Linked DNA regions of Schizosaccharomyces pombe. The gene in region 2 interacts genetically with the main gene of each other region. Each region holds a gene or a part of one and is shown on either strand. Other genes may lie near its edges.

Evidence for each region. Genes that interact genetically often act in the same process or in processes that back each other up.
Region 1: mutations in sap14 (region 2) and nup124 together harm fitness more than expected from each alone (negative genetic interaction), as found in Schizosaccharomyces pombe (one large-scale study listed by BioGRID).

Annotation. Positions count from the first base shown.
Region 1 is NC_003424.3:1,110,000-1,116,590, reverse strand, and holds nup124 (nucleoporin Nup124), read right to left. Parts: upstream 4,417-6,591; 5' UTR 4,378-4,416; coding exon 4,127-4,377; intron 4,084-4,126; coding exon 855-4,083; 3' UTR 723-854; downstream 1-722. Other genes in the region: ddx27 (putative ATP-dependent RNA helicase Ddx27/Drs1), read left to right, coding at 1-176, 224-344, 389-534; AP-3 adaptor complex subunit Aps3, read left to right, coding at 5,473-5,739, 5,782-5,835, 6,298-6,474; transporter Hfl1, read right to left, coding at 6,481-6,591. UniProt on the Schizosaccharomyces pombe protein: Nucleoporins may be involved in both binding and translocation of the proteins during nucleocytoplasmic transport. In S.pombe it is required for the nuclear localization of retrotransposon tf1.
Region 2 is NC_003423.3:2,048,870-2,052,855, reverse strand, and holds sap14 (Pre-mRNA branch site p14-like protein), read left to right. Parts: upstream 1-2,087; 5' UTR 2,088-2,160; coding exon 2,161-2,404; exon of another isoform or gene 2,405-2,497; coding exon 2,498-2,598; 3' UTR 2,599-2,859; downstream 2,860-3,986.

The sequences.
Region 1 (6,591 bases), on a different chromosome or scaffold from region 2:
CCGGTGAGGGCGATCGCAAAGTTCTTAAAGGTGTATTCAAAAATTCTTCAGCGCAAAACACAAAATTGGTCAACCGTAATCTGGATTTTAACAAAGTTGAAAAGTTTGGTAAAGAAATTGAGGAATTGGAACCTGTTGTTCAGAAAGTGCTAGATGAAGAAAAACAAGAACGAGAAGTATGTTGTTTTTATAAGTATATAAATTTTTTTTCTAACAAATGTAGCTAAAAATTGCCGAACGCGATTTAAAGAAAGGCGAAAACATTATGAAATATGGTGATGAAATTCGTTCTCGTCCAGCACGTACCTGGTTTCAATCCGAAAAAGATAAACAAGCTTCTAAAGGTATGTGACATTGAAATAAAAAAATATGTTTGCTAACATTATAGCCTCCGAAGCGAAAGATAAAAAGTCTTTAGCTAAAAGAAAAAAGCAAATGGAAAAGGAAGAGGTGCCCCGAGCATACAAGAAGACAAAGAATGATAGACTTAGCAACAAAAAGTCTACAAAAAAATCGAAATCTAAGCGCAAATAGGTGAATACGTGAAAGGGAGAAATTTTCAAATGATAAGTGTTTGGTTAGGTTTTGAATTTTTTAGATACTAGATTATATTAGGGTTTCATATGTATAATGGAAATTGGGTTTTGTGTCTCATGGGTAACTTGGTTAGACCTCCTTTACAAAAAGCTCGTACTTTAATTTATATAATAAGAATAAAAGCGTCCGTATGTGTAAACAAAAATGTAATAATTATTCCTTAGCAATTAATTTAAAGGACAAAGTCTATCTAAACTATCATATACCCAACCGCAATGTTTTGTCATATTGTCTTGTCAACATGTCATAATATTAATTTAACGTTTTCTTCGACTTCGGGGCACAGCAATTTTACGGCCCGGGGGCGCATTTGTTTGTGAGTTAGAAGAGCCCAAATTGAATTGAATACCATTGGGCGCTGGTGATTGTGAGGCACTTGCATTAAAGGCAGACGGAGTAGCCGCACCGAACGAAAATCCGGTACTAGGTGGATTACTAGCTGGATTACTAGGTTCTCCTGACCCGAAGGCGAATGCTTGTGATGCATTATTGATGGACCCGGATGGGTTGGGAGTGTTTCCAGCGCCAAACATAGGAGCCGCAGTTGATCCAGCATTTGATGGAGTGAATGTAAAACCTGTACTAGGAGGGTTATTAGTGGCAGTATTAGTAATCCCTCCAAACCCTGCAGGAGCTGCTGGGTTCGTGCCTGACTGGTTGCCAAACGCAAACGCGGAAGACGGGGCCGGCGTCGATGTACCAAACATAGAAGCAGGCTGAGGCGAATTGTTAGCACCGAACGAAAACCCAGACTTAAAGCCAGACGCAGGTGCCGTATCTCCAGCATCCTTAGCCATGGGAGTGTTCTCTTCCTTATTCATACTAGAATTTGATGCTCCAAAAGAAAATGCAGACGTAGTGGGAGCAGGAGCAGAAGCAGAAGCAGCTGGAGCGGTTCCTTCAGAGGTAGTCTTTGAAGTTGCAGACCCAAAGCTAAATGCCGGTTTATTTGATGTACCAAAAGAAAACGGTGCCGTAGACGAATTTGTAGAGGGATTGTTGTTACTGGATGCTTTAACACCACTATTGTTTCCAAATGAAAAAGCAGGTGAAGGAGTGGTAAGATTCGAAGCAGAATCTTTGCCATCAGCAGTATTAGTCGAGGGTTTAGGTGCATTAAAAGCTGATGCAAAACTAAACGGCGCATTAGCAGTTACTCCATCAGTTTTAGAAGATGTATCCAATTGAGGCTTCGTAGTTTCATTTGACGTTGAGGCTTTTTTGTTTGCCTGTTCTGTAGTGGAACCGAAGGAGAAAGCAAAAGGCTTTGCATCCTCCGTTTGTTCCAAAGTTCTCTTAGTAGCATTGCCATTCGTCTTCGTTGTATCGTTAGGAATGTTATTCTCATTTGTTTTTTCAGATACAGCAGCAAAGGGAGATACAAAATTAAAGGTTGAAGAGGGCACAGCGTTATTAGAAGATACTGAATCCTTTATTTCAGAAGCTTTTGGACCTGTTGGAGGGACCTCTTTTTCAGTTTCCTTTTGCTTTACGGCTTCTTCATTAAAAGTTTTTTCAGGTAGCAAATTGGTTTTGGCATCCGTATTTGGCTTGGTAAAATTAAATGAAAACTGAGGAGCAGTTGTTGTTACATTTTCAGTATTAGGTTTTGCAAACGAAAATGGAGTAGAAGCTTTAGCTGACAAACTGTCATTCGCTTCATCTTTCCCTTTTTTAGCAAAAGAAAAGGAATTTGTAGGTGGGACTTCTTTGGACTCCTTGGTCAAATTGAATGAAAAGGGTGATGAGCCTGCGGTATTTCCAAAACCCGAGGACGGTTTTGATTCGGGAGCTGACGGTTTTGACTCAGAAGCAACAGTAGAACTAGCTAGACCATTTTCAGAAGTTTTTTTGTCATTGAAAATATTGCTTGTTGGCTTTCCAAAACTACTTCCAAAATTAAATTGTAGCGTAGGTTTTGTTGTGTCTTGTGTACTAGAAGCATTGTTTAAAGAGAAATTGAACGTAGGAGCTTTCGTTTCTTCCTTCTCTTCAAGGGTTTTAGGTGCGAATCCTCCAAAGCTGAAACCAGAAGTTGAAGCAGGAGCAGACGGAGCGTTGTCCTTCTTTTCTGTTTCTTCTCGTTTTGGACTTAATTGAGAAAAAAATGAAGGCTTGTTCTCAGTTATACTTGGCGTCTCTTGAGTCTTTGACGGTAATTGTGCAAAGAACGTTGGCTTGGGCTCATTCTCCTTCAAACGATTAGTTTGCACATCAGCAGTAGCAGTTGGCTTAAACTCAAATTTGGGTACATTTAATTTTTTGTCCGTGGTAGCTTCAGTCTTCGGTTCAAACTTAAATTCGGGTACTGAAAAGTGAGAAGATTTGATTTCCTTAGAAGGTGATGGCGGTTCAACTTCGGACTTTCTAGTTGTAGATTCTTTTGTCGGCGATGAGGAAAATTGGCTTTTGGGCGCTTCTGTATCCTTTGACAATGGCTGATGTTCAAAGGTTTTATTATCCTCAGCGTTCGCGAGAGTAAGTGCCGTATCATTCGGAGAAGTCTTTACAGGCTTAGGGGTAATAGAGGCTTGAAGCTCTTCAAAGGTAGGGGCGGACTTCGTCAATAAACCCTTGTCACTTGTATTATCCTTGGGAGATGCTATTATAGGTTCTAATATACGCTCAGATTTTGGATTTTGTTTGGGTAATGCGGTGTAATGAACGTCATCTTCGCAAGCAAAGATTTCATCCAAATCCTCATCAACTGCAGAAAAAGCCTTAATATGACCTTTCTCGAGAGTCTGACGCTTACGCGAAGTGGGTGTACTTAACCGGTGATAAATATCTTGCTTATCAATAAACATTGTATTACCGGGGTTGGAATCTGTCTGAACTTCTGCATTGACTAATACAGGCTTCCTTAAATCCATCTGTTCAAGAGTTTCATAAATGATAGGGATAAGCCGCTGGTGTCTACGACGTCGCCGAGAGGAGCGGTGAGGAACGTGATTTTTTGCTGAGACCTCTGTTTCGCCATTCTCCTTATCTCTAATGTCGGTAAGACTCTTATGGGAATCATTTCCAGAAAAGCTTTTGTTCTGCTTAGCTGAGGGCTCGTTTTCAGAGGCACGAGCAACAGATTTCTTTTTGGAAAGCATAGGACTGGGACTTCTAGAAGGCTTGCGCTTCTCACAAGTAGGATTAGCTTCGGTAATACGATCTTGTTTTACACTTGATATATTTAAGGTATTTTTCTGCTCATCGTGAAGTGACCGAAGGATATTGAGCAATGAAGCAGAGGATTTGGGAGTTGCAATTTGATGTTGAGAAGTGCTGCCCAACTTTTTGGATAAAGCAGAAGAAGGATGAAGCGAATTAAGTGATTTTAACGACAACTCGTCATGGCGTTTAAAAAGCGTTGGGGAATTAGTATAATCTTGCTTTTGCTTTGGCTTCCTAGGTTCAAATGTATTCGTATGAACTTTTTCCTCTATTCCATCAATTGTTCTAACATGGCTCCGATTACTAACGCGAATAATTCTTCTATTTAATGTTAATATGTTTCACGACAAAAATGTCAACTTACGGAGATTTTCCTAAATAATGAGGTGTTAACTCTGGAGTAAGCAGGCTTTTTGTACCTGCTCTTCCACTCTTTCTATCCTTGCTAGCCGTTCCTGAAGCTTTCTCGTCTAGACCACTGGTGAATGGGTGCAAAACAGATGAAAATGCCCGTTTCAAGACCGTAAAAAAGGGCCTTGAGCTCCCCTGAGGTGGGTCATAGGGTTTCTTAACAGTCTTTGATGAAGTGCGAGTATTTTTTGAAACAGGAGGCATCAATACAAACTCATCGACAACTACTAGAAGACGTTGGTTAATGAGAAGTAGCGAGTTTAGTTACGTGGCAATTATTTTTCATGCTAATGACTTATTGATTGTCTGGTAGCGCTATTTGTTATATGCCAATATCGTAGTCGTAGGAACTGTACGACTATTGTAACACGTTTCGTAAAAATGTTTAATACGAGAAGAAAGGGAGTTATTTGAAGGTGTTAAGCAAGATGGAATATGTTAATACAATTTGTTTTCGGTTTAAAAAAATGGGATATCAAATTCTATTTAATCTCGTTACCAGTAAAGTGGTGATTGCAACAGTAGTCCACGAGCCTTAGCTTCGTCAATATTCGCTTTATCAAGTTTTAGGCTGTCTAATATTCTAGCAACTTACTTGCAATACTTAAATTCTTCCGTTTAAATCAGCTTACATTGTATGAAGAAATGATTAGTTCTATTTTCATAGAAAAACACTTAGGCACGTACTGTCTAATCGTACGTAATTGGAATTTCGCTTTACTATCATCTATAGTAGTGTTGATTAAAACAAGTGCCTCCCATATAGCAAGGCAGCGTTCATTGCTAATCATATTATGCAAATATTCACTTAATTAGTATATTAATCAAAAAAAAGCTACCAATATATACCTATAGTAACTGAATAGTGGGATCACCTCATATAACTATTAGTATGTGTCTACTTATTACTGAGATGTCACATACTATGTAGCTATTTGAATATTTCATAACCATCAATTCAAAAATTGGTGGAAGACAAATGTTTTTTCCTATTTTTCTATTCCTAAATTGTATACAAAGTAGTTCGTTATAGAGATCATTGAAGGCATGGCAAAAATTGTTTACTAGACATTATGAATTTCAGTAACAGATCTTTGGTTCAATAGTGGATAAATAATATACTCAATAAATATAAAACCATGAAAATCTTAAATATAGCAAATTAACTAAGGCATTGAAAGAAATTTGTCGATCCTGGTTCTTCCAAACTACTATTAACGTATATTCAACTTAAACTTCAGCTTGCCGTTTACCAAGCACTGCATATTTGGGTTCTGCCAGCTTTCCCTTTCTATTGTCATGATTTACGCTGTTTTTATATTTAACAATAAAGGGAAACCTCGTCTCACAAAGTTTTACACTCCAATTGATGAATCCATTCAACAAAAGTTAATAGGAGATATATATGCAGCTGTATCCACTAGGCCCCCAACCGCTTGTAATTTTTTGGAAAGTAATTTAATTGCAGGTAAAAATAGAATAATTTATCGCCAGTACGCTACTCTCTACTTCGTTTTTGTAGTAGATGAAGGTGAAAGTGAACTAGGAATTCTCGATCTCATTCAAGTAAGTTGAAATTAGTTACTTTCCAATTTCTAACTATTAAAGGTATTTGTTGAAGCATTAGATCGATGCTTTAATAATGTTTGCGAGCTTGATTTGGTAAGTACATTTCACTACTCGTTTATCTTCCCATTATCCTACTGCTATATGTTTGAAACCATTGATTCCGTTTTTTTTTATTTAATTTGTTTTTTTCTTATTTGGTTTCGAATGTTTGGAAATTTGGCCTTACAAGAAACATTAATGTTTGTCCAATATTCGATTATCAAAAGAGCATAACATTTATTTTTATCATTTATTGAACTTAGGAACTACAAGAGTTTAATTCCTAATTCCTTTACTTCTCATCGCCTTCAAGAAAGAAATTATGCATAGAACTGGAAGTAGAGTCTCATTGTCGATGATTCGCAATCTCCAATGAAAAAAAAGAGGAGGTGTTAGTAATAATTATCCAAATACAAGTGTATACGCCAAAAAAAAAGGATATTGAAGGAAGAAATAATTAGAAGAGTTGAAAGCCATCTGTTTGAAAGCGAATTAGAAAGATCTAACACAATATAGGTTTTTAAATTCCAAGAAATACATGCTATTCTTGCTGAGGTAGTATCTGGTGGTCTTGTCTTAGAGACAAATCTGAATGAAATTGTTTTGGCAGCTCAGAATCAAATGCCAAAAACCAAACGGTCCAATGCAATGCCATTCAGCAATACATTAAGTTCTTTTGCTACTAGGTTCTAGTGACTTTTATGTATATGAAGAAGATGCATGAGTATTGTTCACTAGAAGAACTGGATAATTATAATCACCATAACGCATCTGTTTCGCTTGATTGTATAATGGTTCCATTTCATCGTC
Region 2 (3,986 bases):
TCCTTGTTAGTATATGCGTATAAAACGCGGAGAATCTAAGTGCGAGTAAAAAAAAATTCCAGATAATTGTTTGTTTCCGACAAGTTGAAAAAGACGGCGAAGCAAACCTATTTGTTCACTTATACAAATATATTAAAAAATAATTAAAATCTTTAATTTGTTAACTCGGTAAAATCGTTAAATTATCGCTAAATAAATTTATCGACCTTTATCAAATTTTCTTCATTCAATTTACGAGTTCTCAACCACCGTTTCGTTATAAATATTTGCGTATTCAACGTTAAAAACCGTAATTATCCTTCTTGCCTTTCCGGCCCAGTGGAAGTTCCAATGACGCCGCGGAAGGGCTGCACACCTCAGTAGCGAATATGGGGAAAGAGCAAATTCATGCTTGCCACGATGACTACCTGGATGCTTGATGTAGGTGACGTGTTACTTAAGATGAAAATGTAAATACAAGAGAAGAAATGGGTCAAGAAGGCGATTAATGGATGAAAAGAGAAATTATTCATAGAAAAATTTTTCCTTAAATATGCGCTTTTATTAATCTTTCGTTTAGGTTTTTTTCTCTCGTAAATTAATTCAGATATAGGTATTTAATCAACATTGCCAATTTCAACAAGTTTTAGGGGTTACGTGCAATAGTTTTATTGTTCTATTGTTTTTTAATTCTTCTCTCAATCCTAACTCTTGAAATTTTGTCGTACAAGACATTTTTCGCATTTCGTCAAGTTAAATTTTATGTTAAACTAGAGTTATTTGCGAATTAGGCTAATGAGCAGAAACCACTTGAATATACAAAATTTTATTTATTTATTTATTTATTTATTTTTTTTAAAAAAAGAGTAAATGGTAATTAATCTACTAGAAGCGTAAAAAGAATTGTTCAATACTTCAAAAAGAAAAATATGTATATCATATATCAAACCAGATTAGCAATCAATGCCAATAGCTTTATTCATTGAAAAAATAAAAAAAATAAAGAACGGTTATAGATGAGTCAATTAATTTCGTACTTTAACGTTAGTTGGTTTATTTCGTTTTTGTACAACATTATTTACTTTTTTAAATACTTAGTTCCTGCTTATCATAATGAATATAGCTAGCTTCATTAGTTAAAATTATTAGTATAGTTTTCGAAATTGTAAACGCTACTATAGTTTCTTTTTTCTGTAATTTCCTAAATTGCTTCAAAACAGCATTTGCAATGCAGCACATTCTCAATTAAGAGCAGTTGTAAGCAAAGAGCAATGAGAAATCTTTCAAATTAGATAAAATGAAGTACAGTAAGATCCACATATTCAACAAAGCTATCCTTTCCCTTTAGTGTCTCTGTTGCTATCACTTATATACGAAAGCATGGCATTGGAAGCGTAAAATGAATCATTAATTTTGCAGATGTAGTTTTCTGGGATCAGGAAATAAAAAATTTAAGAAATTTCAAAAGAACTTGAGAAGAAATTGATGAACTAGTTGGTCTGTAGGCAAAAGATCAATGATACCAAATTGTTTCCTTGATAAAAGTCCCATTGCCAAACAAGAGTATAAGTTAAAAGAAAGTAAAGAAATAAGGAAAAATATAAATTGATGATACAACTATACTATCAAACTATTCTTTGCAATTGTCAGTTTTAAAGTTGAAACCTATTTCCTGTAGGATAGACAAACGAGGAAGCAAAAAATACCAATAAAAATGTTTATGATTTTCAACTAGTTATGTATAATTTGAAAATCACTTTAAATTGACTCTCTATTGAAATCACCGCCATGTCAGTTTCAACTCTGATCAAAGATCTCATGAACTAAGGATTGCATTTGACATTTGGAGTTACCAGGTAAAAGAAGAGGAAAATTTTGGTAAAAGGTTGAACCGTTTTGTCTACGATCTGTTGGTCCATTCGATTTCCCAGCATATACCTCTTCTTGTCCAAACCACGAAACGTAACCTTTAATATTCATGTCTCAATCTTTTCTACTATAATTAAACTCACGTATAGGATTGACTATACAACATCAATCTCCAAGCTGTGATAACGAGTATTTTCCATCTGATCCCAACCAACCTTTTAGGAATATTTATCCTTTCCAAAGCAAACCAAATCATTTCTTTTCGAAATTTGATTTTTTTAACAAAAAGTGTTAAGATCGTAAAAATAACAAATGCCTCCATCTACAGTTAATCAAGAAGTCAATTCTATCCTATTCATCAAGAACTTGTCTTTTAAAATTACAGCAGAAGAGATGTACGATCTTTTTGGTAGGTATGGTCCTGTACGACAAATAAGGCTGGGGAATACGGTTCAAACAAGAGGTACTGCATTTGTGGTTTATGAAAACGTTCAAGACGCTCGTCGAGCTTGCGAAAAGCTTTCTGGCTACAACTTCATGGATAGATACTTGGTTGGTACGTTATCTTAGGGAATGTATTAGCTACTATTAATTTTAATTTCTCCTTTCTAACGGCTTTTTAATATCTTCTTGTTAACTTTTTTTTTAGTGCATTATTATAACCCTGAAAGAGCTAAGGTTGATGGTCAAGATTTGGCAGCAAGGTATGCCGCCTTGGAACAAGTTAAGCAAAAATACGGTGTTCAGTGAACGTTTACTATTTATTTACCAAAAAAAAACAAACAAATTAGGAGTCTGATATTGACTCCATTAACGTGTAATAGATTTCCTCTTTCTATAAATTCTGTTGAAGAGAACATACAGCAGAAAAATGAATCGGCTCATATTAAACAATCGTTTACTAGTGTTTCGAACCTAGGTATAAAAAAGGTACTATAAGGACTTGAATTTTATTATATTTCGCTTAAAGCTTTTTAGTAATAATAATGTAATGCATTGATCTATAATATAACAACGTCTACATGTAGTATTAAGATTTGAATCCCTAATAAAACGTATCCAAATTTGCCCAACCGTATTTCCCAATTAATAATTTTATCTGGCACAAACTTCAAATCATAATGAGCTAGTTTCCAAAGTCCAACCCTTCCAGCTTCATTACCAACACATAACTCACCACCCTTACCAAAAGCTAGGCATGTAACTCTGCCTAAAGGCGTAGCGCTGGTGGGCCAATTACGGAACACACTAAAGCTGGGAACATGAACGAGTCGTAGAGTATCCTTCTTTCCTCGAGATGCGATAGCTAAAACTTGACTATCTTGAGAAAAGCTCATACTATTTATGCTGAAAGTAATATTATCCAATGTAGTGACAGGTTTTGGTGCAGCGTCCGCATTGGATGTCTGGAGGTCATATATATTAACAATACCACTCTTGCTACCAATTGCCAAATACTTATTAGATGGGTCCAAACAAAAATGAGTGGTAGATACACCATCTTGAACTTGCCAACGACGAACGACTGAACGTTGCTCAACATTAAAATGCCATACCTCCGCACCATAACTAAGCACCAACATTTCCGACCCGTCAGAAGTGAACAAAACGTCGGAAAGTACACCTTCAATTTTAAAGCTTGTAGCAAACTGACCAGTAAGAGCATGCAGTAAATTTATATGGCCAGATCTTCCTTCCAAAGCAATGTACTTCCCAGTTGGATCTACGTGAAACCTTTCCATACTTGGCTGAAAGTTCTCTTGTCCATACATACGACTAACTTTTTGAACTTGGGCAGACTCCAAATCCCAAATGTACATGTATTTTCTCCGACCAGCAGCTATTACTCGTTTACCATCCGGATGAAACAACGCAGTTTGAAGAGCTGAAGAACGTAAATGCAAAGATGTTACCAGTGGATTGACTTTGCCATCAAGCTGATAAATGCGAAGTGTGCGATCAAAGCCACAAGTAAGCAAAAGAGGAAAATAAGGATGAATAGACATACAACGAATTCCACTGTGAGAAGGTGCTTGGAAGTTGGCATCTTTAAGCCGTTTGATGTTGATAGTACCAGGAGCAAGAAGCTTTGAGGATTGATTTATGTAGGAAACTGAAGATTTGAATAGACTCTTCAA